3 linked regions of the Elephas maximus indicus genome follow. Each later gene encodes a partner of the first gene's protein in a complex. Links are inferred from orthologs where the notes say so. Each region holds a gene or a part of one and is shown in the gene's direction. Other genes may lie near its edges.

The links.
Region 2: PPP4R4 (region 1) and PPP4R2 share a complex: the UniProt entries of both Homo sapiens proteins name them as parts of the PP4 complex. The link is inferred for Elephas maximus indicus from reciprocal best matches to the Homo sapiens genes PPP4R4 and PPP4R2.
Region 3: PPP4R4 (region 1) and PPP4R3A share a complex: the UniProt entries of both Homo sapiens proteins name them as parts of the PP4 complex. The link is inferred for Elephas maximus indicus from reciprocal best matches to the Homo sapiens genes PPP4R4 and PPP4R3A.

What each region holds. Positions count from the first base shown.
Region 1 is NC_064828.1:107,733,675-107,741,369, forward strand, and holds the start of PPP4R4 (serine/threonine-protein phosphatase 4 regulatory subunit 4), read left to right. Parts: upstream 1-4,635; 5' UTR 4,636-4,758; coding exon 4,759-4,875; intron 4,876-6,255; coding exon 6,256-6,329; intron 6,330-7,695. UniProt on the Homo sapiens protein: Putative regulatory subunit of serine/threonine-protein phosphatase 4.
Region 2 is NC_064838.1:20,592,570-20,600,442, forward strand, and holds the start of PPP4R2 (serine/threonine-protein phosphatase 4 regulatory subunit 2), read left to right. Parts: upstream 1-4,871; 5' UTR 4,872-5,099; coding exon 5,100-5,133; intron 5,134-6,116; coding exon 6,117-6,198; intron 6,199-7,873. UniProt on the Homo sapiens protein: Regulatory subunit of serine/threonine-protein phosphatase 4 (PP4). May regulate the activity of PPP4C at centrosomal microtubule organizing centers.
Region 3 is NC_064828.1:105,164,949-105,172,899, reverse strand, and holds the start of PPP4R3A (serine/threonine-protein phosphatase 4 regulatory subunit 3A), read left to right. Parts: upstream 1-4,881; 5' UTR 4,882-5,007; coding exon 5,008-5,149; intron 5,150-7,951. UniProt on the Homo sapiens protein: Regulatory subunit of serine/threonine-protein phosphatase 4. May regulate the activity of PPP4C at centrosomal microtubule organizing centers.

The sequences.
Region 1 (7,695 bases):
TCTGGAGTTCTTGATCCTGGACAATAATCTTTATTTGATTAATTTGTCATAAATATCTTTTCTCAGTCTGTGGTCCATCTCGTCATTTATTGGTGTCTTTTTATGAATACAAGTTCTTCATTTTAAAGGTTAGATTTGTCGACTTTTTAATTTTATAGCTTCTGCTTTTTAAGAATTTTTTCCCTCTTTAGATGTCACAGAGATATTCTCCCATATTTTCTTCCAAAAGTTTGAAAGATTTTCCTTTCACATTTAGGCCTTTTATTCACCTGAAATTGATTTTTGGGTATGGTCTGAGGTAAAAATCAAATTTAAGTATTTTATCACAAATAATTGTATTAGTTTCCCACTGCTGCTGTAACAAATTACCAATATCCCTGTAGCTTTAAAGGAGCCCTGGTGGTGCAGTGGTTAAAGCTTCCCTTAGCTGGGTGTTCATGTGTGATACTGGAATAGTGAGGCATGTCTGTGTACCTCACAGGGCTGCCCCGAGGGCACAGGGAGACAACACGTTCGAAAACAGTTCAGATAAGGAAAACAGGGCTCCAGATTACACCTTATTCCAGTGGCACCGCCAGGACTAGGACTCAGGTTTCCTGGCAGCCAGACTGGGGAGGGCTTCTTCCACCATGGGGTGGTAACTGTACCAGTTACAGATTCTGGTCATCGAGTTGAACATTTTCCCTTCATCAGCCTCCTGCCCTGGAAGAGCAAACATCAAAGCTATGCCGGAGCACTCCATCAATTGTTCGTTAAGAATGTCATCAAGTCTCAGATGACAATGATACTGTTACAAAACCCTAAGATAAGATTTCTTAGCCAGAAGTAATATTTAGTGTCAGTTACAATTAAGGGGAAAAGGAAGAGAACTTCAGGAAGTGACAAAGAAGGGTGGCTACAAGGTAATTTGCCAAGGAAAACCACCTCTCCTCATCTCTGCTTCTTTTCCATCCTGTCCTTGCACATTTCCTCCCTCTTCTATTTTCCCCTCCACTTTTCTCCTTAGTGAGCTCTTGTTGCTGTTAGCTGCTGTCCAGTCATCCCCCAATTCACGGTGACTCCGTGCACAACAGAATGAAATGCTGCCTGGTCCTTCGCTATCTCAATGATTGGTTGTGGACTGAACCACTGTGATCCACAGAGTTTTCACTGACTTATTTCCAGAAGGAGATCACCAGGCCTTTCTTCCTAGTCTATCTTAGTCTGGAAATCTCTGCTAAAGCCTGTTTAGCGTCATAGCAACAAGCAAGCCTCCACTGACAGATGGGTGATTGCTGCGCTTGAGGTGCATTGGCCAGGAATTGAACCCAGGTCTCCAATATGCGAGGTGAAAATTCTACCACTAAATCACCACTGCTCCATTTTTAGTGGACTTTTGTCATTGTTAGGTGCCATCAAATCAATTATGACTCATAGCGATCCTATGCAAAACAGAACAAAACACTTTAGAGAGGTCTCTTGGAGCAGATTTGCCCAAAACACTACATCATTTGATTTCTTGACTGCTGCTTCCACGGGCATTGATTGTGGATCCAAGTAAAATGAAATCCTGGACAACTTCGATAGCGGACTAGGGAATCAGAAAACTTGAAATTCAGCGGTGGGTTACCACTGACTTTTGCTTGGAACTACACAGACGATATTGAAAAAAAAAATGAGTAAAGAGTGGGGTGTTAGGTACCCACCAGGTATTAAGACATATAACAAAGCCATAGCAATAAAACCAGTGCCATACTGGCACAGAAACTGATCTAGATCAAGAGAGAAGCAATGAGAGCCCAGAAACAGACTCATGTGTCCTTGGGGACTTGGCATATAACAGAGACACTGTCACACATCTTCTTTGCTTACTAACCTGTTGCCATTCAGTTGATTCTGACTCATAGGGAACCTACAGGACAGAGTAGAACTGCCCCATAGGGTTTCCAAGGTGCAGCTGGTGGATTCAAACTGCTGACCTTTTGGTTTGCAGCCAAGCTCTTAGCCACTGCACCATCAGGGCCCCGTCACACATCCGTGGGGAAAAAATGGATTGTTGGTAGGTGCTGCTGGGGAAACTGGCTCACTGTGTGGAGAAAACAAAGCTGACTCCTTCTGCTCACTGTAATAAATGCAAAGTGATACAAGGTGAGCTCCAGGTGGATTAAGACCTAACTGTGAAAGGTGAAATTATAAAGCCAAATAGAAAAAAATGTAGGAGAATATTTTGGTGACCTTGGGAAGGGAAAAAGTCTTAAGCAAAATCCAAAAGCATACACTACAAGGCTGAAATTGGATGCATTTGGCTACATCAAAATTAAGGATTTCCCCTTCATTGTAGAACACCAAAGACCAAACTAACAGGATGCATGAAAGACTGGGTGATGTCTGCAACACCAAAGACTGACAAGGGATTCATATTTAGAATATGAAAGAAACTCCTTCAATTCATTCAGAAAAATAATAGGAAATCTGGCAGGAAAATAGGCAAAGAATGCAAATAAGTAATTCACAGAAGAAAAAACCAGAATGGTTCTTAATATGGAAAAATGGGTAACATCACCAATCATCAAAGAAATAAAAATGAAAAACCAAAATGTAATTCTACTTTATTGATATCAGGCTGATAGAAATTAAGACCACATGTTAGCATGTAAGTGGGGAAACAGGAATTTTCCTACCTTCACACGCGACTGATGGGCGTGTAAACTGGCAAAGCCATTCTGGAGAGCAAGCAGGCAGAGTGAAGCACAGACTCCGTGACCCAACGATCCTATTTCTTTCTCGTAGGCCCATAAAGGGACGTGTGTAACAGTCGTATCCGCATTACCTGTGGTAGCAAGGAGCTGCTGGGTCCACCTAGCTGTTCATCATTTGAAGACAGAAAAAGTAAAAGTAACTCATGGCAATCCTGGTGCGCAATCCGTCACCTTTCAGGAGCAGATTGCCAAGCCTGTCTTCCGGGCCCCCTCTGGGTGGGTTTGAACCTTCAACCTTTCCGTTAATAGTCCAGCATTTAACTATTTGCAGAGTAGGAATCGACTAGATGGCAACTAACAACAACAACAAAGTAAAGTAAAAGTAAATTTTATTAGACACAAATCTAATACGATTTGTGGACAGAATTAATGAACTCCTTTTTTTAGTATATCTAGCCACATGGATAGACCCCTAAAACATTATGTTTTTGGAAAAACAATGAATTTTTTAGCACAATACCATTCGTGTTATTAAAAATTGATGCATAAACTAAAAACATCAGTATCTTTCAAGGATCTGTACATGTGCTGGAAATGCTGGTGGTGTAGTGGTTAAGTACTACAGCTGGTAACCAAAAGGTCGGCAGTTCGAATTCACCAGGCGCTCCTTGGAAACTCTATGGGGCAGTTCTACTCTGTCCTGTAGGATCGCTGAATCCGAATCCACTCGACAGCAAGGGGTTTTATACACGTGCTGGGACAGAACTAAACCTATGAGAGAGGGTGCACATGGGGCAGAGGAATGGCAGTGTGGAGAAAGAACGACAATTAAAGAGTATGACGAGCACAACTCTTGCCCCCGAGGTTCAGAAAACCGCCCTAACACCCCTGCCACGCTTCCCATTCTTCAGAGAACCAGTTCTCCGCAGGAGCAAGTGCAAGCGACGTAACGCGGCTGCCAACAGCAGGGCTTTTCTACCTAAAGAACTTGCTTCCTCTTCCACCTACCTTACCAAGCACCCGCTCCCCCCGCACCCCAAACTCTACTCCGACTGCATTTCCCACAACCGAAACACGCCCAGGCTCTAAGCCACTGTGCCTCTGCCGAGCAGGTCCCTCTGCCCCAAAGGGCCTCTTTTATTTCTTTCTCTCGGTAAAGCCTTTTTGATCTTTTAAGATCAGTCTAAGTGTCTCTCCCTCAGGAGGCCTTTTCTGAACGCCGTCCTCCCAAGCTGAGCCCCCTCCAGAATTGTATTCCCATACACCTCTCCCCGAACACTCAGGCGTGCACGCACTAAAAAAAAAAAAAGAGGTGCTTATTTGCTCCTCCTCAGGGCTAGAGGTGCGCTTGGGTGGTCTCTGCGTCCGGAGCGCGCCAGCGGGGGTGGGCGTTTATAAAGACAAGAGCAAGGTTAAAAAAAAACTCAAACACCAACCGATTCAGACTCACAGCGACCCTATAGGAACTGCACCATACGCTCTTCATGGAGCGGCTGGTAGATTCGGGAAGCCGACCTTTATTTTAGGTTGGCAGCCTGAGTTTTTAACCGCTGCACCATCCATCAGCACTCCGAGACCCGATCCCCCCTCTCCATTGCTTCCCCTCTCAAAGGCTTAGCCTCCCTGCCCCCGTCCCCGCCCCCCAGCCCGACACAGCCGGCCGTGGCAGGCGGAGGGCTCTGCGCATGCGCTGCCGGCGGGTGCGCGCTCAGTCGGGGCGGGGCTAGCGGAGAGGTGGGCGAAGAGGGGCGAGCGCAGAGGGTGGTGGTGGCCGCCGCGACGTTGCGCGGCAGTTGCGTCCAGCCCCCTTGTGCGCGGCGCCTTGGGGGGGGCGGGGCCGAGGCGGGCACTGTTGAGGCTTCCCCGCCCTTGGCTCCGCCCCGCCCCGCGCCCCGCCCCCTCGCTGGCCTGCCCCGCCCCCTCGGCCGGTCGCGCTCCTTCTCCCGCCGGCGGCTAGCCTCACGCTCGGCTCCCGCGGCGGAGAGCGGGAGAAAGTGCTGCTACTGGGCGGCCGCGGGGCTGCGCGCGTCCGGCATCCCGGGGCCGCTCCGGCCCGGGCGGCGAGGGGGCCCGGCCGTCCATGCATCCGCCGCCGCCTGCCGCCGCGATGGATTTCAGTCAGAACAGCCTGTTCGGCTACATGGAGGACCTGCAGGAGCTCACTATCATCGAGAGGCCGGTCCGCCGGAGCCTCAAGGTGCGCCCCGGGGAGGAGAGGCTGCCCGCAGGGCGCCCGGCCGCCTTCCCGGCCCCCGGCCCCCAGCCCCCAGCAGCCGGCTCTGACCCCCGCCCCGCCGCCGAAGCCCCCCGGCACCGTCCCGACCCGACGTGGCCCGGGACCCTCTCACAGCCCAACTCCTCCCGGCCGCTTTGTCGCCCGCACCGGCCCCTCCGGGGGACCCCTCGACACGGCCCCGGCTCTCCCAGGCTGGACCTCTTCCCGAGGAACGGGGCCCTGGCCTTGGTCCCGGCCCCTACGGGGTCCCCAGCCCTCGTCCCCGGCCTAGCCTGGCCCCAGGACCGGGGGAGCCAGCCCCGCGTCCGCCCGGGGCGCCCCGCTCCGACCGCAGCCTCGGCCCGGGTCGCTGCCCCTTCCTCCCGCCTGTCCCGGGGCCGCCTTGGCCCCCGTGCTGCCGGGCTCTGGCCCCGGGCCCGTCCTTCAGTCGGCACAGCCCCGACGCCCCCTCCTCCGACCCCTCCTCGAGGCACCCGATCCCCACCTCCATCGCGGACCTTCTCCCCTGTCGGAGCCAGCTCGGGTCCCGCTTGCCCCAAGTCCGCCCGGGCCTCCAGTCACCTCCCAGAGTCGTCCCAGCCCCGGTCTTCAAAGCTCTCTCAGGAGCGGACCCGTCGCCCCATTTTGAGTCCCCGTACGTCCGTTTCCTCCCAGCCCCTTCAACTCCACTTGGGACCCTGCTCCCCACCCCCCTCGAGGGACTAGCCCTTCAGCTTGCTCCCCACCCCCCACTTGCTCCCCACCCCGCAGAGTCATCTCCTTCAGCCTCGGAGGATGTAGACCTCGCTGCTGGCAAACCGAGATTACAGACCCCCGGGCCCCGCCATCCGCTTCGGAGCCCCTTTAGCCCTTCTAAGTCCCACCTGCCTCCCTCTCTCGACTCTGATTTCCCCCACTCTCAGATTTCGTCCTTTTCATACCCACTCCGTTGCGGTCTTCATCTATCCCCCTTTTAGCATTTCCTGGGTTGGAAAATTCTGGAGAAACAGCCTTGGCTTATTGAAAATAAAAACTGTGTGTTTACTTAATATATGCATATAACACCGGATTTCTGCAAGGTTCTGAAGGCACGATGTGATTCTCAAGCTGCGATCTAGAAGCTAGAAGAAGAGTGATTAAACAAAAAAAGAAAAAACCAAAACAAACTCAACCACCCAAACTCAACAATTAGCGACATGATTCTCTCTGTTCAGGTCTCCTAGAATCCTCAGACCCTTGATTAGTTTTCATTGATAATGCTGAATCGTGAAACTTTTTCATTGGTGGTGTTCACAGAGGGTCATTGGCGGGCGAGATCGACCTGAGTGTTTGTGTACATAATTTGTATTTTATATTTGACAGACACCAGAAGAAATAGAAAGACTGACAGTTGATGAAGACCTCAGTGATATTGAAAGGGCTGTTTACCTGCTCAGGTATTTCCTAAAGGCTTTCTGTGAAGTGGCTGCTCTTCCGACAGCATTGATGAATGCTTTCAGAGATGTCATGTTGTGATGATGTTCAGATTTGGTTAACCATTTTGACAGAGTACTTTTGCATGCAAATCACTTGAATATGTTGTGAATAAATTAGATTTAGGTATGAACTTATGAATTTGAGAACTGAAATAAGAGACCCGATTTATAGAATACTGCTTGGAGGAGGGGGAGCAGAGCATTTTAAAATAACTAATGGCTTGAGTTGATTCTCATCTCTTTTTTTTTTTTTTTTTTTTTGGCTTTAGTGGTTCTCACATAGGATTCAGTGAGTTTAAATGAGACAAGAATATCCAGTGATTAATTTTAAGCTTGTTGTAGGCTATGACCATTAGATACCATTTACTATGTAGAAAAAATACCCCAAAATATCATAGTGTTGGAATTTGCTGCTCAGGGCATCCTATTTGTATTACTTTTACTTTTATGATCTTTATAACTTTGCCCAAGAGACTTTTTGTTAATTGAGCCTCCTCTTATTTAGGTTTCAAACTCTCACAAGTTCTACAGAATTTTCTCAGGCAAATGATTACTGCAAATATTTATGGGATTTCTCTCAACTATTTTTAAAATTGCATTCTTGTGGATTTAGCTTCTTAGAAGCTAATGTGGTGAACCTTAATGAACTTATCTCTGAAAATACTTAGGAAACACAACTTTTCTTAAGGCATTTTGTGTATATTTGCTTTAAAACTTTTCTACATGTACAAAGCTTTTCCCCCTTTTGACAAATCAGTCTTCACTTTTGTTTTTCAGACTCAGATTTCGGAAACTAGTTGTTATTTACCTCCCAAGATATTGGTCATCCTTGTTTCCTTGGCTTAGGTCTACTTTGCTGGTTTCAGGTGTTGGCAAGTGTCTTATTCTCCTTTCTGGTTTATAGATCATGTTTCCTGCCACATGTTATTTACTGGATGATTCTTTAAAAAAAAAAAAAAATCCCACTCTATGACTTCCATCTTCTTAGTCTTTAGACAACTATTGGCATCTTGAGTGTCTCTTCTTACTTCAGTCGGAATACCACCATGCTTATTTTAGGCCATTCTCTCAAATAATTCTATTATTTCAAAGTATTTCTGGATCTTAGACCTTTTTCTTGATGTTGTTTTTTCTTTTCTTTTGGTGATCTATTACAACATGCTGTCATCACATTGACTTATTTATTTAAAGAAAACTCTATAAATTAACAGCATGTATTTTTTTGGTGTTTACTTAGAGAATAATCCAGCTTTTAACCTACTTTGGTATTGCCCCGTTTTATATTTGGAATACTTTACTTCTCAGTAATTAACATGTTGAAATGGTA
Region 2 (7,873 bases), on another chromosome or scaffold:
TCTGAATTGGGGTCTCTCATGAGGTTGTACTCAAGAAGTCAACTGGGGCTGCAGTTATCTGAAGGATTTCCTGGGGCTGCAGGTCTGCTTCCACCGCCTTAGTTCTTCTCTAGGTGTACCTTTCCACCCAGTTGCTCTAATGTTCTCTTGACATGGAAGCTGGCTTCCCAGAGTGAGCAATCAAAGAGCCCAAGGCAAAAGCCACAGTTCCCTGTATGACCTAGTCTCAGAAGTCACGCCATCACTGCCATTATACTGTTTTTGGTCACACAGACAGCTCTGATTCAGTGTGGGAGAAGTCTACAATGCATTGTTGTTGTTGTTTGCCATCAAGTCAATTCTGACTCATAGCAACCCCATGTGACAGAGTACAACTGCCCCCATTGGGTTTTTTTTTTTTTTTTGGCTGTAATCTTTACAGAAGCAGATCACTAGGTCTTTCTCCTGCGGAGAGCCTTGGGTGGGTGTGAACCCCCAACCTTTCGGTTAGCAGCTAAGAGCTTAACTGTTGTGCCACCAGGCCTCCTAATGAATCTCAGGAGGCAAAGATCATTGGGGGCTGTCATGGATTGAATTGTGTGACCCTCCAAAATATGTGTGGGAATTCTAACCCCTGTACTTGTGGATGTAATATAAACACCTTCCATAATGCAACCTAATGTTCTGTTAATAAGGCCACGCCAGGGTAGTGTCCTAAACCCAACCACTTCTGAGTTATAAAAAGAGTAGATTAGACACAGAAACAAACACATACTAAGTGTCTTAGTCATCTAGGGCTGCTATAACAGAAATACCACAAGTGGATGGCTTTAATAAAGAGAAACTTATTTTCTCACAGTTGAGTAGGCTAGAAGTCGAAATTCAGTGTGTCAGCTCCAGGGGAAAGCTTTCCCTCTGTCTGCCTACTCATCTTCCTCCAGACTAGGAGGTTCTCCACGCAGGGACCCCAGGTCCAAAGGATGCGCTCTGCTCCCAGCACTGCTTTCTTGGTGGTATGAGGTCCCCAACTCTCTGCTTGCTTTCCTTTCCTTTTACCTCTTGTAAGATAAAAGGGGGTGCAGGCCACACCCCAGGGAAATTCCCTTTACCTTGGATCAAGGACAGGACCTTAGTAAGGGTGTTACGATCCCACCCAAATCCTCTTTCACATAAAATTACAATCACAAAATGGAGGACAACCACACAATACACAAAATCATGAGCTAACCAAGTTGATGCATATTTTGGGGGGACACAATTCAATCCATGACACTAAGGAAGAGAGATGGCATGTGAGGATCACCAAGAACCAAGGAATGCCCGGGGCTACCAACAAGGAAGGAATCGACAGGGCTGAGACCCTGAATGGGACTGTTAGCCTACAGAACTGTGAGAAAATTAATTTCTGTTCTTTAAAGCCTCCACTTGCAGTATTTGCATTACAGCAGCAATAGGTAACTAAGATGGGCCATTGTGGAGGTTGGCTACCACATTTGTATGCTGTTATCCTCCACGGGAATTAGTACTAATAGGAGGCTTAAGGAATCACTGACATTGGGATACATGCTAGCTAGGGAAAAAAATCCAAGGAAGAAAGAACTAATGAACCAAAGGAAATAATTGTTCAGTCTCCTCTTTTGCCTCTTTTCCCCTTGCATTCTCAGCTCAAGTCAGACTGAATTTCTTATGTATCTTTAGAATGCACCTGGCTCTTCTCTTTCATTTCAAGGCATCTTGGTTTTTTGTTTGATAGCTCCTCTTCTCCTCCTATCTACTTCACTTCGCTCCCTTCCTCTCATAATTCAATGGTCTCAGCTTAAACACCACTTCCTCCAGGAAGCTTTCCCTGATTCCCTTAGGCTGTCACTGCTGTGTCCACTTTATTTCCTGTCACAGACCTTATCCAGTTTGGAAATGAAAGGCATGCCCAAGTGAGGGGAATGACTGATGAAAGGGACAAAGCAAGGAGGAAGAAATTAGCACAATGAGTTCCTCCAACACAGCACTGTCTAAGAGAACTTTGGGCAAGGATGGAGTTTTCTGTATCTGCAAGGCACAATACAAAAACCACTAGCCACACGAGGCTATTGAGCACTTGAAATGTGGCTAGTGTAACTAAGGAACTGAATTTTCAATTTTACTCCTGTTTAATTTACTGGAATTTAAACAGTCACATGAGGTTAGTGGAACTGTATTACACAGCCAGCTTTTACACTGAGACACCAAAACCAAACCTGTTGCTGTTGGGTCGATTCATTTTCGACTCATGGTGACCCCACGTGTTGCAGAGTAGAGCCATAAGGTTTTCTTGGCTGTAATCCTTATGGAAGTAGATCACCAGGCCTTTCTTCAGCGGTATCATTTGTTGAATTCAACCTGCCAGCCTTTAAGATAGTAACTGAGTGGAAACTGCTTGTGCCACCCAGGGACCTTTGTATAGCAAGTGACCTGCCTAAAAAAAAGACTGGGTGTCAGAAGTGCAGGACAGGCTTTTTATGTAGGCACAGTAGGCCCTTTCAGACTAGAAGGGGCCATGAAAAACTAAATTTAGTGCATCATAAGTGCTGACCAAGTGTTTGATGATGACACCCTATTGCCACCCCTACAAGGCTATTTGTAATTGAGCTGAATGCTGTAGACAATGGAAGGGAACTGGTTTTCCAACTACAACACTCCAGAGAGGTATTTTGGGTGTGGAAGACTTTTGCCTGCATCTGTAACCTAGGGTAAGAATCACAGCCACTACCTTTTAAGAGTGTCAACAGTTGTAACGGCTGCATACAAATTTGTGCTTTCTAAGACAAACCAAAGGAACTCTGGTGACATAATGGTTGAAGCCATTGACTACTAACTGAAAGGTCAGTGGTTTGAAACCACCAGCAGCTCCACAGGCAGTTTACTTTCATAGAGATTTATAGCGTTGGAAACCCTATGCGGTTGCTATGAGTCAAAATCGACTTGATGGCAGTGGGTTTGGTTTTGTTTGGGAAGACAAACCAAAGATCAAAGACTACAGACTTCAGTATGGATTACACCTTAACATAAAGAAAACAAAAATCCTCACAACTGGACCAATAAACAGCATCATGATAAATGGAGAAAAGATTGAAGTTGTCAAAGATTTCATTTTACTTGGGTCCACAATCAATGCCCATGGAAGCTGCAGTCAAAAAATCAAACGATGTGTAGCACTGGGCAAATCTTCTGCAAAAGACCTGTTTAAAGTGTTAAAAAGCAAAGATGTCACGTTGAGGAAGGACTAAGGTGTCCCTGACCCAAGCCACAGTGTTGTCAACTGCCTCATATGCATGCGAAAGTTGGATAATGAATAATAGGGAAGACCAAAGAATTGATACCTTTGAATTATGGTGTTGACAAAGAATATTGAATATACCGTGGACTCCAGAAGAATGAACAATCTGTCTTGGAAGAAGTACAGCCAGAATGCTCCTTAGAAGTGATGACAGAGAGACTTTGTCTCATGTACTTTGGACATGTTATCAGGAGGGAGCAGTCCCTGGAGAAGGACATCACACTTGGTGAAGCTGAGGGTCAGGGAAAAAGAGGAAGACCCTCAAAGAGATGGATTGACACAGTGGTTGCAACAATAGGCTCAAACATAGCAACGATTATGATGATGGCACAGAACAGAGCAGTGTTTCGTTCTACTGTGCACAGCGTTGCTATGAGTTGGATCTGACTTGACACGGCATCTAACAACAACAAGACAAGCCCAGAAACTGCCTTCTCTTTCTTCCTTTCTTTCATGACATTCTGCTAGGCTTTGGGAAGAGAAGGTGCAACAGTCCAGTGCCTTTTCCTTTAAAAGTTCACGGACATAACAAGAGCACAAAAATGTCCACACAAAGGCTGGGAGCCAGATGTCCCAGTTTCAGTTGCTGTTTTGCCGGACTTGCTCTGTATGCCTCAGCTTTCCCGTTTGTTAAATGTCAGCGCTGGAGAAGGATTCTGCAGTCCCCTGTTTAGTTTCCTGGGTGCCTAGGCAATGTAATCTTAATCACAATGATACTAAAAACAGCAGGAGCCTTGTTAACTAAGTGCTCACCAAGTGCCAGGTCCTGTAGTGCTTCATACACACCGTTTCACGCAATCCTCAATCCTGTTTTACAATTCCCATTTTATGACAAGGAAACTGAGGCTCTGTGAGTTGTAACTTGTCCAGGGCCACAGAGGGAGTAAGTAGTGGAGTGGGATTTGAATTCAGCTGATTCCAAAGCTTGAGCTCTGAATCACTTTGCTGTATGCGTTGCTTCTTTTCACGGGTGGGTCAGTGACGAGTGAACGTCGAGTTCAGGGGCAGAGGTATTCTTGTCACTATTAATAGCTGTAATACAGAGTGCTTTTTATTCATACTCTGAACGCTGTGTGTACACATTCTTCCTTAATTTTCACAGAAACTGCATAGATAGGGTGGTCGGAACCAGTGCCCTCACTGTACCAAACGACCCTATAGGACAGAGTGGAACTGCACCATAGAGTTTCCAAGGAGCGCCTGGCGGATTCGAACTGCTGACCTCTTGGTTAGCAGCCGCAGTATTTAGCCACTACACCACCAGGGTTTCCCCTCATTGCACAGATTGGGAAAATTAGGCTCAGAGAGGAGAAGTAAATTGCTCAAGGTTACACAGCTAGCTAGGGTACTCGAATCCTGCGAGTCAGCTCCCAACCCGCTCCTTTACCGTGCTGTCTGCAGTACCGCGGGGGCCCGCCGAGGAGCACCACGCAGGCGGAGGATGCGGCGCCCGCCACCAGGCCGGGTCGACGGGACCGCCCGGCGGCACGCCTCCGCCGCGCACGCGCTCTCGGGCTCCCGGCTCGGGGCGCGCAGCGGGCGCGAGGACGGCGGCGGGGAGCGTGCGCGCGGTGACGTGCCGGGCGCCATGTTGGAGGGCTGGTGGTAGCGGCTCGGGGAGGTGTTCGCTCTGTCGGTCTCGCTCTCTCGCTCGCTTCCCCCGGCTCCCTTCGGTGCCCCCCCCGGTCGCCTGCGTGCCGGAGTGTGTGCGAGGGAGGGGGAGGGCGTCGGGGGGGTGGGGGGAGGCGTTCCGGTCTCGGGGAGACCCGCGGCGGGAGGCGGAGGCTGCGAGGGACTCCGGGAAGCCATGGACGTCGAGAGGCTGCAGGAGGCGCTGAAAGGTGGGGGTGGCTGCCCCTCTCCCTTCTCCCCTCCTTCTGCGGCCCTCTCTCTTCTCCTTTCCGGGCCGGTGGCTCCGCGGCCCGGGCCCGGGAGGGCGCGTCTCCGGCTCCCCTCCCCCTCCCACCTCCCAGGGGCGGGGAGCCCTGTGGGCAGCTCCCTCCCGCCCCGCTCTGGGCTTTGTGTCTGCCGCCGGCGTCTGGGCTGGGGGAGGGGAGTCGGGGAGCTCTCGGAGGGGCTCCAGCCCCTCTCCCACCCCGGCGGGGACAGGTCGTAGCCCCTCGCAGGCAGGCTCGGTTCGCCGTCAGGCTCCCGCATGCCGGGCATCGGGGTGAGAGAAAAAGTAAAAGGGTAGGTGGGGGGGCGGCGCTGGCAAAGCAACTTTTAGGTTGTCTTACGAAGCCTTTCAGGGCTTCTGGAGGCATCTTTGCACGCGCCCTAATTCTAAAAGGTGGTCGCCTTCCAAGCAACAGGCTTGAGAATAGTGGTTCCCAAACTTGGAATATCATGGTTTCAGGGATTTGAGAATTATGTTTTGACAATTCAGAATCGTTTGGGGGTGGCTCCGTCGAGTAGGTGGTGTTCGTTACAACGTAGACTTGTGAACTTCACCTAGATAAACAGTTAATGGGGTCGGGCCTGGAGGTTTGTATTTTAACCGGATTCCCTGGTGAGGCGGATGCTGGTGTTCCCCGTGACCCCACTTTGGGAAACACTGTATTCAGGCTAGTTTTTGGAGAAGTCGAGTGCCCCCTTTTGGAGGCGTCCTGTTAGCAGTGAATACCAGTGAAGTGGGTGACATGTTGGAAGTGGAGCTTGGGAGGGTAGAGGTGGCTGTTTGGTTGAGAAGATGAGTTTTTAATTTTTATTTTATTATTGTTTCTTAGTATGGGGAAGGACTGGGAGGAAAGTTTGTATTAAGGTGTTGGGAATGGTTGATGGACTTTGGGAAATACTAATAACATTTCTTTCTTCTCTTATCTAGATTTTGAGAAGAGGGGGAAAAAGGAAGTTTGTCCTGTCCTGGATCAGTTTCTTTGTCATGTAGCCAAGACTGGAGAAACAATGTGAGTTGAAACCTGTATTCATTTTTATAAACGTATGTCATTCAGGATTGCATAGGACAAAGAAAAAAGTATATTCTGGAAGAATTATTAATCTGTGTCATTCCTACAGTTTAAAAACTATCATTTAAAGCATGTAATAAATATATACTTTTATTTATTTTATGCATGCTCCGTAATGCATTTTAAAAAATTGTTTACCTTTTTTTTTTTTTTTAACATCTACATTTAGGCCTGTTTAGAACTTCTTAGTCTGAAAGGGCCTGAGAAAGGAAGACTGTCTTTTCCATTATGACCCTTTTGGGCCATAATGAACAGCTTTATCCCCAGGGTTTTGTGGCTTTGATTGTTTCATGTTCTTTTGTTGGTCGTATTTTGTCTTATTGTCCGTATCCAAGCTTTTGTTGTCATAGATGTAGGTGTTTGAAGTGTGTGACTTCTATTCTCTTGAGTACTCGGGGTGATTATCTGACAAATTCCAGATGATAAGTTTTGACTGTCCTGTAAACTTTCTAGGATAGCTAACTTGTTACATATGCTTACCATTTTATTAGGCTTGTTTCCAAATGTTCTGAATTTGAAACTTGTAAATTAGGGCTGTTTTCAAAAGGAATATTCAAGTCCATTGTGTGTAGTTTGTGTGGCAGGAGTTGTTTTCACACTCTGGCTGAGTTAGTTTGTAGAGGGCAAAGTTAATTTGTAGAGAGCAACGCAGCTTCGATGACTTCCTTGTTGTCTTTCCTTTGGGTAATGGTGGGGGAACAGGAAGGAGAAAGATTTCTTTGGGTGCAGTGGTAATAAATGGGCTCTCCTGGCTCCCCTACTTCATGCCTATTTTCAAAATACTTTTTGAGGCCTAACAGAAGAGTGTGAGCTTCAAGTGATACGTAATTTCTGTGGTTTTATTAGCAAGTGTTCATTTTCACAAGTTTTGCTATGGTTGTAGTATAGTCCTCTGATAACCAAATTTAGAAATGAGAAAAACGCTTAAACTTAGAAAAAGTTAAGAAAAAAATATTTAAAACCTTGTCTCTTCATCAGCTAATCAGCTCTGTACAAACTGCCTTTCCTTCTTGATAAAAAAACAGTGGCTCTAAATGTACAGTCAAAAGTTTCTAAAAGACAGGTTTAAAATTTTAAAAAAATTTTATTGTAGTAAAATACACATAACAAATTTGTCATTTTAACCATTTCTAAGTATATAATTTGGTGGCATTAACTGTATTTGCAATATTGTGCAATCACCACCATTAATAAATACAGCTTTTTAATATCTTGCCTTACTGGATCACCGGCGGCTGAGAAATTTAATCTGATTTTTCTGAACAATTATTTGTCTTGATAGAGGACTTAAACAATTTTTTTCTTTTTTTTGTCAAGTTAGGTCTATATTTACTGAGAGCATTTTGTGTTAAAATGATTGGTGTTCTCAAATTCATCTTTTGACATTTAATGAAGTTTGTATTACTTTTAACTGTGGGCATGCCTTTTGATAGTGAAAGTTGCCATTTCTCTTATCCATTTATGGCTAAATGGAGCTTTGTCTAATTTCTAAGATTGTCATGGGAGAATGCAAATATAAAAAGTGAGAGTTCAGATCTCTTTGATGTTTTAGGATTGATGGGTTGCTTAAGGTACGAATTCTGTAGTTTTAACCATTTTTATTTTCATCGATACG
Region 3 (7,951 bases), about 2.6 Mb from region 1:
CTGTGTATTCCATCTGGTGAGGACTATCATTTATGTTGTTGAAAAAAGGTATTTCCAATGAATAGGTTGTTGGTCTTGCAAAATTCTATCACACAATCTCCAGCATCGTTCCTATCACCAAGGCCGTATTTTCCAACTTCCACATTCCAAGCGCCAATAATTATCAATGCATCTTATTTGCTTGTTTGATAAATTTCAGACTGCAGAAGTTGGTAAATATCTTCAATTTCCTCATCTTTGGCATCAGTGGTTCATGTGTAAATTTGAACAATAGTTGTATTAACTGGTCTTCCTTGTAGGCAAATGGATATTATCCTATCACTGATAGCACTGTACTTCAGGATAGATCTAGAAATGTTCTTTTTAGCGATGAGTGTGACATTGTTCCTCTTCAATTTGTTAGTCCCAGCATAGTAAACCATATGACTGTCTGAATCAAAATGGCCAACACCAGTCCATTTCAGCTCACTAATGCCTAGGATATCTATCCTCGAGTGTTCCATTTCATTTTTGACAACTTCCAATTTTCCTAGATTCATACTTTGTACATTCTGTGTTCCAATTATTAATGGATGTTTGCAACTGTTTCTTTTCATTTTGAGTCATGCCACATTGGCAAATGAAGGTCCCAAAAGCTTTACTCTATCCACATCATTAAGGTTGACTCTACTTTGAGGAGGTAGCTCCTCCCAGTCAAGTTTTAAGTGCCTTCCGGCACTGTATCAGTGTTCTGCCGCTATTCTTTAGATTCTCACTGGCCAATTGTTTTTAGAAGTTTATCATCAGGTCTGTCTTCCTAGTCTGTCTGTCTGGAAGCTCTGCCAAAACCTGTCCACTATGGGTGACCCTGCAGTATCTGAAATATCAGTGGCATAGCTTCCAGCAACACAGAAGCCACCACAGTACAACAAACTGACAAATGAGTGGTGGGGGACTCCCATATAGCCCCCATTATCTTCACTGTCTTACACAGAGGTCATCTTCATGGAAGGCGCATTCTGGAGTCAAGCAGTGCATGACCCAGCAGCCCCGCTCCTCCTCTTTCCAGGACTTTTAAAGCAGGCAACACTATAAAATGATGAATGCAATGTGGATAAAGGTATGTAACACAGAATAGGTACAAATATCATGTAATGAATAGGCTCCATTGTATATTTTACAAGTTTATGTTATGCATGTAGGTGAAGGTACAAAGGCTCAGTGGAAACTTTTATGTTGAGAGCAGAGAAGGAATCAGTTACTTATTGAATCCTTAGAACAAACCTAGACATTATTCCTGTTCCTATTTTACAGGTGAGGAAACAGGTACAGAGAGGTTACCAAAAAAAACCCAAACTCACTGCCGTCGAGTCAATTCCGACTCATGGTGACCCTATAGGACAGAGTACAACTGCCCCATAGAGTTTCCAATGAGCGCCTGGCGGATTCAAACTGCTGACCTCTTGGTTAGCAGCCATAGCACTTAACCGCTACGCCACCAGGGTTTCCACGGAGAGGTTAAGCAACTAGTAAATGTCAAACAACTAACAGGCAGGACTTGGACTCATAATCCATCAGCCACAGCCTTGACCACAATGACAATGTATCTCCACCTTTTGTGATTGGCAACATGCTTTATTGAACTCCCTTGGAAATTTTCTCAATTCTATCACCATTTGTGGATGGTACAGCATTAAAAAGTGATTAAACTTTATTTATTTATTTGGGACAGGGAGTATTTAATATAAAGACCTATTACCTATAGCAGGGGATTGGAGGAAGGAGGGTTGGCTAGTAGGAAGTAAAGAGAACTCTGAAGAATGTTATTGTTGCTGTTGTTGGCTGTTGAGTCGGCTCCTGACTCGTGGTGACCCTAAGCACAAAGGAATTGGACCATTGCGACCCACAGGGTTTTCACTGGCTGATTTTTCAGAAGTAGGTCACCAGACCTTTCTTCCTAGTCTGTCTTAGTCTGAAAGCTCCACTGAAACCCGTCCAACATCTTAGCAACACACAAGACTCCACTGACAGACGGCTGGTAGCTGCACATAAGGTACCTTGGCCGGGTATCGAACCAAAAGTGGTTAAACTTTAAAAGTATTTACTGTCATTTAAGATTGTACTAAAATTTCATTCAAATAGATTGTATATGATTTGTAACTTAAAACAGAATTTTAACTTTTTTCGATTTAATAATTCTTGCAGTTTAACTTAAAAGGAATTTATTTAAAAAGTATCATTTTTCCCACAAATAAATTTACTGGTATCATAACCATTGCTGTCAAGTCAATTCCGATGCATAGTGACCCTATAGGACAGAGTAGAACCTCCACATAGGGTTTCCAAGGCTGTAATCTTTATGGAAGCACACTGTCACATCTTTCTCTCAAAGAGTGGCTGGTGAGTTTGAACTGCTGATCTTTTGGTTAGTAGCTGAGTACTTTAACTACTGCACATCCAGGTCTCCTTTATTGATGTCATGCCAAAACGAAAACCAAACCTGTTGCTGTCCAGTCAATTCAGACTCATAGTGACCCTATAGGACAGAGCGGGATGGCCCTACAGGGTTTCCAAGGGAAGGCTGATGGATTCAAACTGCTAACCTTTTGGTTAAGCAGACTGAGTTCTTAACCACTGCACTGCCAGGGCTCCATTGACAAAACTGCTCTCATGCCCTAATACTTGAAATCATGGCATTTTATTCTTTTAAGTAAAAGCATCCAGTTTTATTTTTAAATGATGAAGGTTTTGGGCTACTCTTTGCAAGCACTTCCATGCACCTGACATTGTGGAGGAGAAACGGTGCCACTTTCTGATTTTTAAATCTGCCAAGGCCAGCATCCCATGAAAACCCCTCAAACCCGGTAAATCTCTCAGCCTCGGGCACACCTGGCTGATTGGTCCTGCTCTCAGGGCCTCTCTGCATAGAAGGATATAATACAAACTACAGGACAGGGTCACTGCAAGATTCATGGTAATGCTAAGCACCTGAATTTGAAATGTGGCTGCTGCAACTGACGAACCAAATTTATTTTACTTAATTTTAATTAAAATTTAAATTTAAGAACTGATACTTAATTCAACTTTTGGAAATATTTTTGTTTGAACCAACTTGAGTTTGTGAATCTACTTTCTCAATTGTAAATTTAATGAAATTTAAATGTACATCAGAAGTTTCTATGAAAATTCTAGCATTTGAATAGAAATTTGCTCTAAGGTTAAAATACACATCGGATTTTGAAGACTTAATAGGAAAATAAATGTGAAATACCTTAATTTCTTATTGATTACACGTTAAGAAAACATTAAAAAGTATGGCATTAAATAAAATACATTATTAAACTAATTTTATCTGTTTTCTTTTTTTTTTTTTAAAGTGGCTACTAGAAAATTTTAAATTACATACGGCTCGCATTCTATTTCTATTGGACAGCACTGACATAGATGGTTTGCCAAACAGAAAAAGCCCTAAAATAAAATAGTGGCTATTATTTGCGTGAGATAAGAAAAACAATGTTATTCCTTTGTGAAGATTAACACTGCTTGACGTCAAGCAGGTGCTCCAAAAACAGTATTAGCTAGAAAATACTGGTTCTGATAAAGGAAGAGAAATGAAGGTCGCAGGTGGAATGTAAAATCAGGTTTTTGAATTGTCACTTGGCGCTTAGTTCTAGGCCCAGAAAACTTAAAGCTGTCCCGTTAGTGGCCTCGCCACGGAAGTGGGTGCCCCACGGCAGCTCCCAAGACTCGCGGTGGCCTCGCGGCCCAAACCTGTGGCCTTTCTCAGAAGCTTTTCAATTGCATCGCAAAGCGGAATAGCCTGGAGTCCCGAGCCTCCCGAACTCCGCGCCCGAGGGCGTCTGGAGCGCCTCGTCCAGCCACGAAGGCGGCCTGGATGGGGACACTCTAGGCGGCTGGTGCGCCGCGGGCAGAGCCACGGCCCCGAAACGCCCGGCGCCGGGAAGACAGGAGCAGCCGCGAAGGCGCCAGGGGAATCTGAAGCCCGAGAAGCCGAGAGCATGACGGCCTGAGACCGGGCCCAGCGACCCCAGTCGGAGGCGGGCCCACGCCCCTTTCGAACGCCCGAGCGGGGCTGATGACGAAAACAGGGCGCGACGGACGCACACACCGCCCCGCGCTCGCACGACGGTGCGCGCTGGGAAGCGCGAGGGTGTCCCGGGCCGTCACCTGCGCGACCAGCCTTCCGCCTCGCCCACGCTCTGAGCTCCCGCCACCTCGGCAACTCGGAGCCCGCCTCGTCCGAGGCCTCCGCGGAAGCGAGGCGCCAGGCCTCGCTTCTGTCTCTTTAAATGGTGGGGCCAACGGGCCGCCCCTGCAGCTGCTGCCTGGGAGGCCCCGCGCGCGCCTATTGAGGGACGAACCAAGATGGCGGCGGCATTGGCTCTGTGAGGAAGACGGAAGAGGCGGTGGCAGCGGCGTAGAGGAAGGGACTCCCAACAGCCAGGAGCGCTCGGGCGGCCGGGGGTCTCGGAGTCTCCTGATCAGCGGCAACAGTAGCAGCAGAAGCAGGCGGCCGTCGGTTTCGGACATTTGAAGAAGGGAGGGCGGTGCGGAGCCACCGGCTACGGTGGCAGGGTCAGGTATAAGGAAGGAAAACATGGCGGCGGCAGCCTGAGTAGGCGGCGGCGGCGGCGGCGGCGCGGGAAGCGACTTCGGGGAGCTCATGGCGGAGGCTGGGGCAGCGCAGTGACTGGCGCCCCGAGTTCCTACCGCGGGCGGCGGAAGGACGCGGAGCGCTGCGCGCCTTCTCGGGGCGGCCGGGCGGCCGGGCTCGCCGTGCCTGGACAATAGCGCCGAGGAGCCGCAGGCGAGGGAAGGCGGCGGCCCAGAGCTCGGGCCCGAAGGCGGGCCATGCGGGCGGCGGCGCGGCCCCGCGGCGGCCAGCGGCGGCAGTGAGGCCGGGGAGACCTTCGCTCGGCGGCGCCCTCCCGCCTCGGCTCCCGCCTTCCCCGGGCCCCTGCTCGGGCGACTCCGGCGGGGCGCCCGCCCCAGGCCCTGGGCGGCACGATGACCGACACCCGGCGGCGGGTGAAGGTTTACACGCTGAACGAGGACCGGCAGTGGGACGACCGAGGCACCGGGCATGTGTCGTCCGGCTACGTGGAGCGGCTGAAGGGCATGTCCCTGCTTGTCAGGGCCGAGAGTGACGGTGAGTGGAGCCCCTCGCGGCGGGACTCTGGTCGCCTCCACGGTTGTCGGGGGGCAGGGGCGCCCTTCGGACAGGATCGGAGGGGTCCCCGGCTGGGCTGCGGGGGCGCGGTGCCCAGCCGCCAGGGAGCTCCACGGAGAGCGCGCGAGTGTCTGCTTCTCCGAGTGCCTGGGGCATGTGGGTGGGAGGGGAGCCGAGCACGTCCGAGCTGCGCCGCCCGGGAGCGGGGAGAGGTCGGGGCCGGGGGAGCGCGGGGTGTGCGGCTCTTCCGCACCCGTGGGGTGACCTTGAGAAAGGCACCGCTGCGTCCGATCTTCCGCCTTAGTTCACCCATCTGTAAAGCAGCGAGATGACACTTTGTTGGAGCTAGGAAAGTTCTTCGCCAACTCACTCTGAAGAGCTTTTTACCCTGCACATGCTCTCCTTGTTTCCTTTTAATATCTCTCTGCTGCCTGTTTCTGATCCTGTTGCAGGTTGACAACAATGGTTCATGGATCTGGCGGCTACACTCGGCAGGGAAAATGCGCTTCTTTGCCCGGAGAAGATAGACTTGTGTTACTCAGTACTGCTTGCCTTTTTCAAAGTAGCAATGCCGACTTTTGTGGGTCGTTTTCATCTGTAAACATCTTGCAAAATTGGAATCATTCTATGCGAGCTTTTTTGGTTCCTTAAATATATGTTTATATTTTGGTTCAGGTAACAGGTGGGGAGAAGTTGGCAGATGTTTTTAAAATCGTTTAAGATCTGCCCTTGTGCCTCAGGCTTCACATAAACCCTTCACATTTTTTGTAACAGCCCTCCAGGTTCATAGACCACGTGGTGTCAAAAGTAACAGTGTTTCAGATTTATAAAGACTTGCTCCTTGTAAGGATTCCCACTTCTCTCAGTGCATACTGTGAATTACACTTAAAAGAATATAACCATCTCAGGGGAAACTGTTTTCACGTTGTTTCTTACCGGTTTGGAAGTAGTTTTATTTCACCTTTCTTGTTACTTTGCAGTCTAATTTTCCAGTAGCTTTTTCAGTTTATTATGGTTACAGTCGTTGGTCACATATCTGAATTATTACAAATTCATTTCAAGGAATTTTCCATTGGACACTCTAACCAGAGCTTCAGTTACACAAAAAACAAAATTCTAGGGATATTGACGTTCAGTTTGAACTGAAAAGTGGTACAATGGTAATTTGGAGTAAATTGTCTATGGGCTACCCAAATTAGCTTTAAACTGGAGAAAAATAATTTCTTTTTGGAGGCATTTTTAAGATTTTGAATATATTGGATTTATTTTTTTGAGACCTATCTGTCTCGTGAAATAATATGTTTGACTGTCAGGTGTTAGTGTTCTATTGTGTAGGACTATCACATAATAATCAGCTATCCTACAAGTCTGGATGTTTGGCAGAACTTTTTACTTAGTGAGTTGGAAAGGTTCAGTTAACTTCTTTTGAGATGACAGCATGTGGATCTTTGAAATCTCAAACGTAAAACCTTAATTCACATCATGTATTTAAACTTGACTTAATACAAATGAGTCTTTTGTTTAAAGTATTTTTAAACATTAAAGCATAATGTCATACTATCAAGAGGAATCATACGCTTCTAACATGGTAATTTAGGACTCTGTTTTTTTCCCAATTTTGATTTTTACCACTTTAGCAGTAGTCCCTAACGTCTTTCCCTCTCTTTGGAGGGAAAGTTGAATGACTAAAACAAATGGCTTCAGTTTTTATCTAACAGATAAAGAGAGCTAAACTAAATTACTGGTATGCTCTTGTTAAATTTGAGTTGTAAAGAAAACTGAATCCAAAGAGTGGGCTTAGAAAAATCCCAGGAAACTTGTGAAATAGTGTAGGAAACACTTTTAGTTTAATGATTAACATTTTTTCTAATAGGAAAATTCCAAATATGAATAATAATCGTTAAAATTTACCAAATGCCCACCATGTGCCAGGGATTCTTTTGGGACTTTTCTTGTAAATTCTCACAGCACCCCTCTGAATCTGAAATAGATACTATTAATAATTGTTTTTGTTAGTTGTAGTCAGATAAGCTCCAACTTATGTGTAACAGAACAAAATATAGTGCAAAAAAAGAGGTAGGTACTATTATTGCCATGTTTTACAGATGAGGAAAGTGAGGCTCAAAGGGCTAAGTAACTTGCTTAAGATCACATAGCCAGGTCAGTGTTAAGATCTTGCTTAAGATCTTTGCAGCTAGGGTCTGTGTTGAGGCAGGGAGACTATAATAATGCTGTCTCAAATGGAGTCTCGGTTCTTGTTAGAAGAGCTTGACACCTAACAATCAGAGAGGCAATTTCTGAATGGAAGTACTTGTGGCCCCCGTATTACAGGGCAGATCAGTCTTGGGGTTAGTATGTGCATCCCCTCAGTTGCTGAGTGCCTTAGTAGGTATATGGCCCACCTGCTTTGGAGGGGAGGGATGTCTGACTGAGCTATGGAGTGCATTTCTGGATCACAGCCTTATTCACTAGGTTCCTCATGGCAGTATTTGTTGTGGGAACATGTTTTCTTTAAATGTTCTTGTTTTGTACTGTCAAGTTGATTCCGATTCAGTGACCGTATAGGACAGAGTAGAACTGCCCCAAAGGGTTTCCTAGATGGTAATCTTTATGGGAGCAGATCATCAGGCCTTTTCTCCTACAGGGTGGCTGGTGGCTTTGAGCTTCTGAGCTTTCGGTTAGCAGCCCAGCACTTAACCATTGTGCCACCAGGGCTCCTTCTTAATGAAGATAAAAAAAAATTTTTTTTTTCTCTCAGGATTTATGGTAGCTGTGTACCTA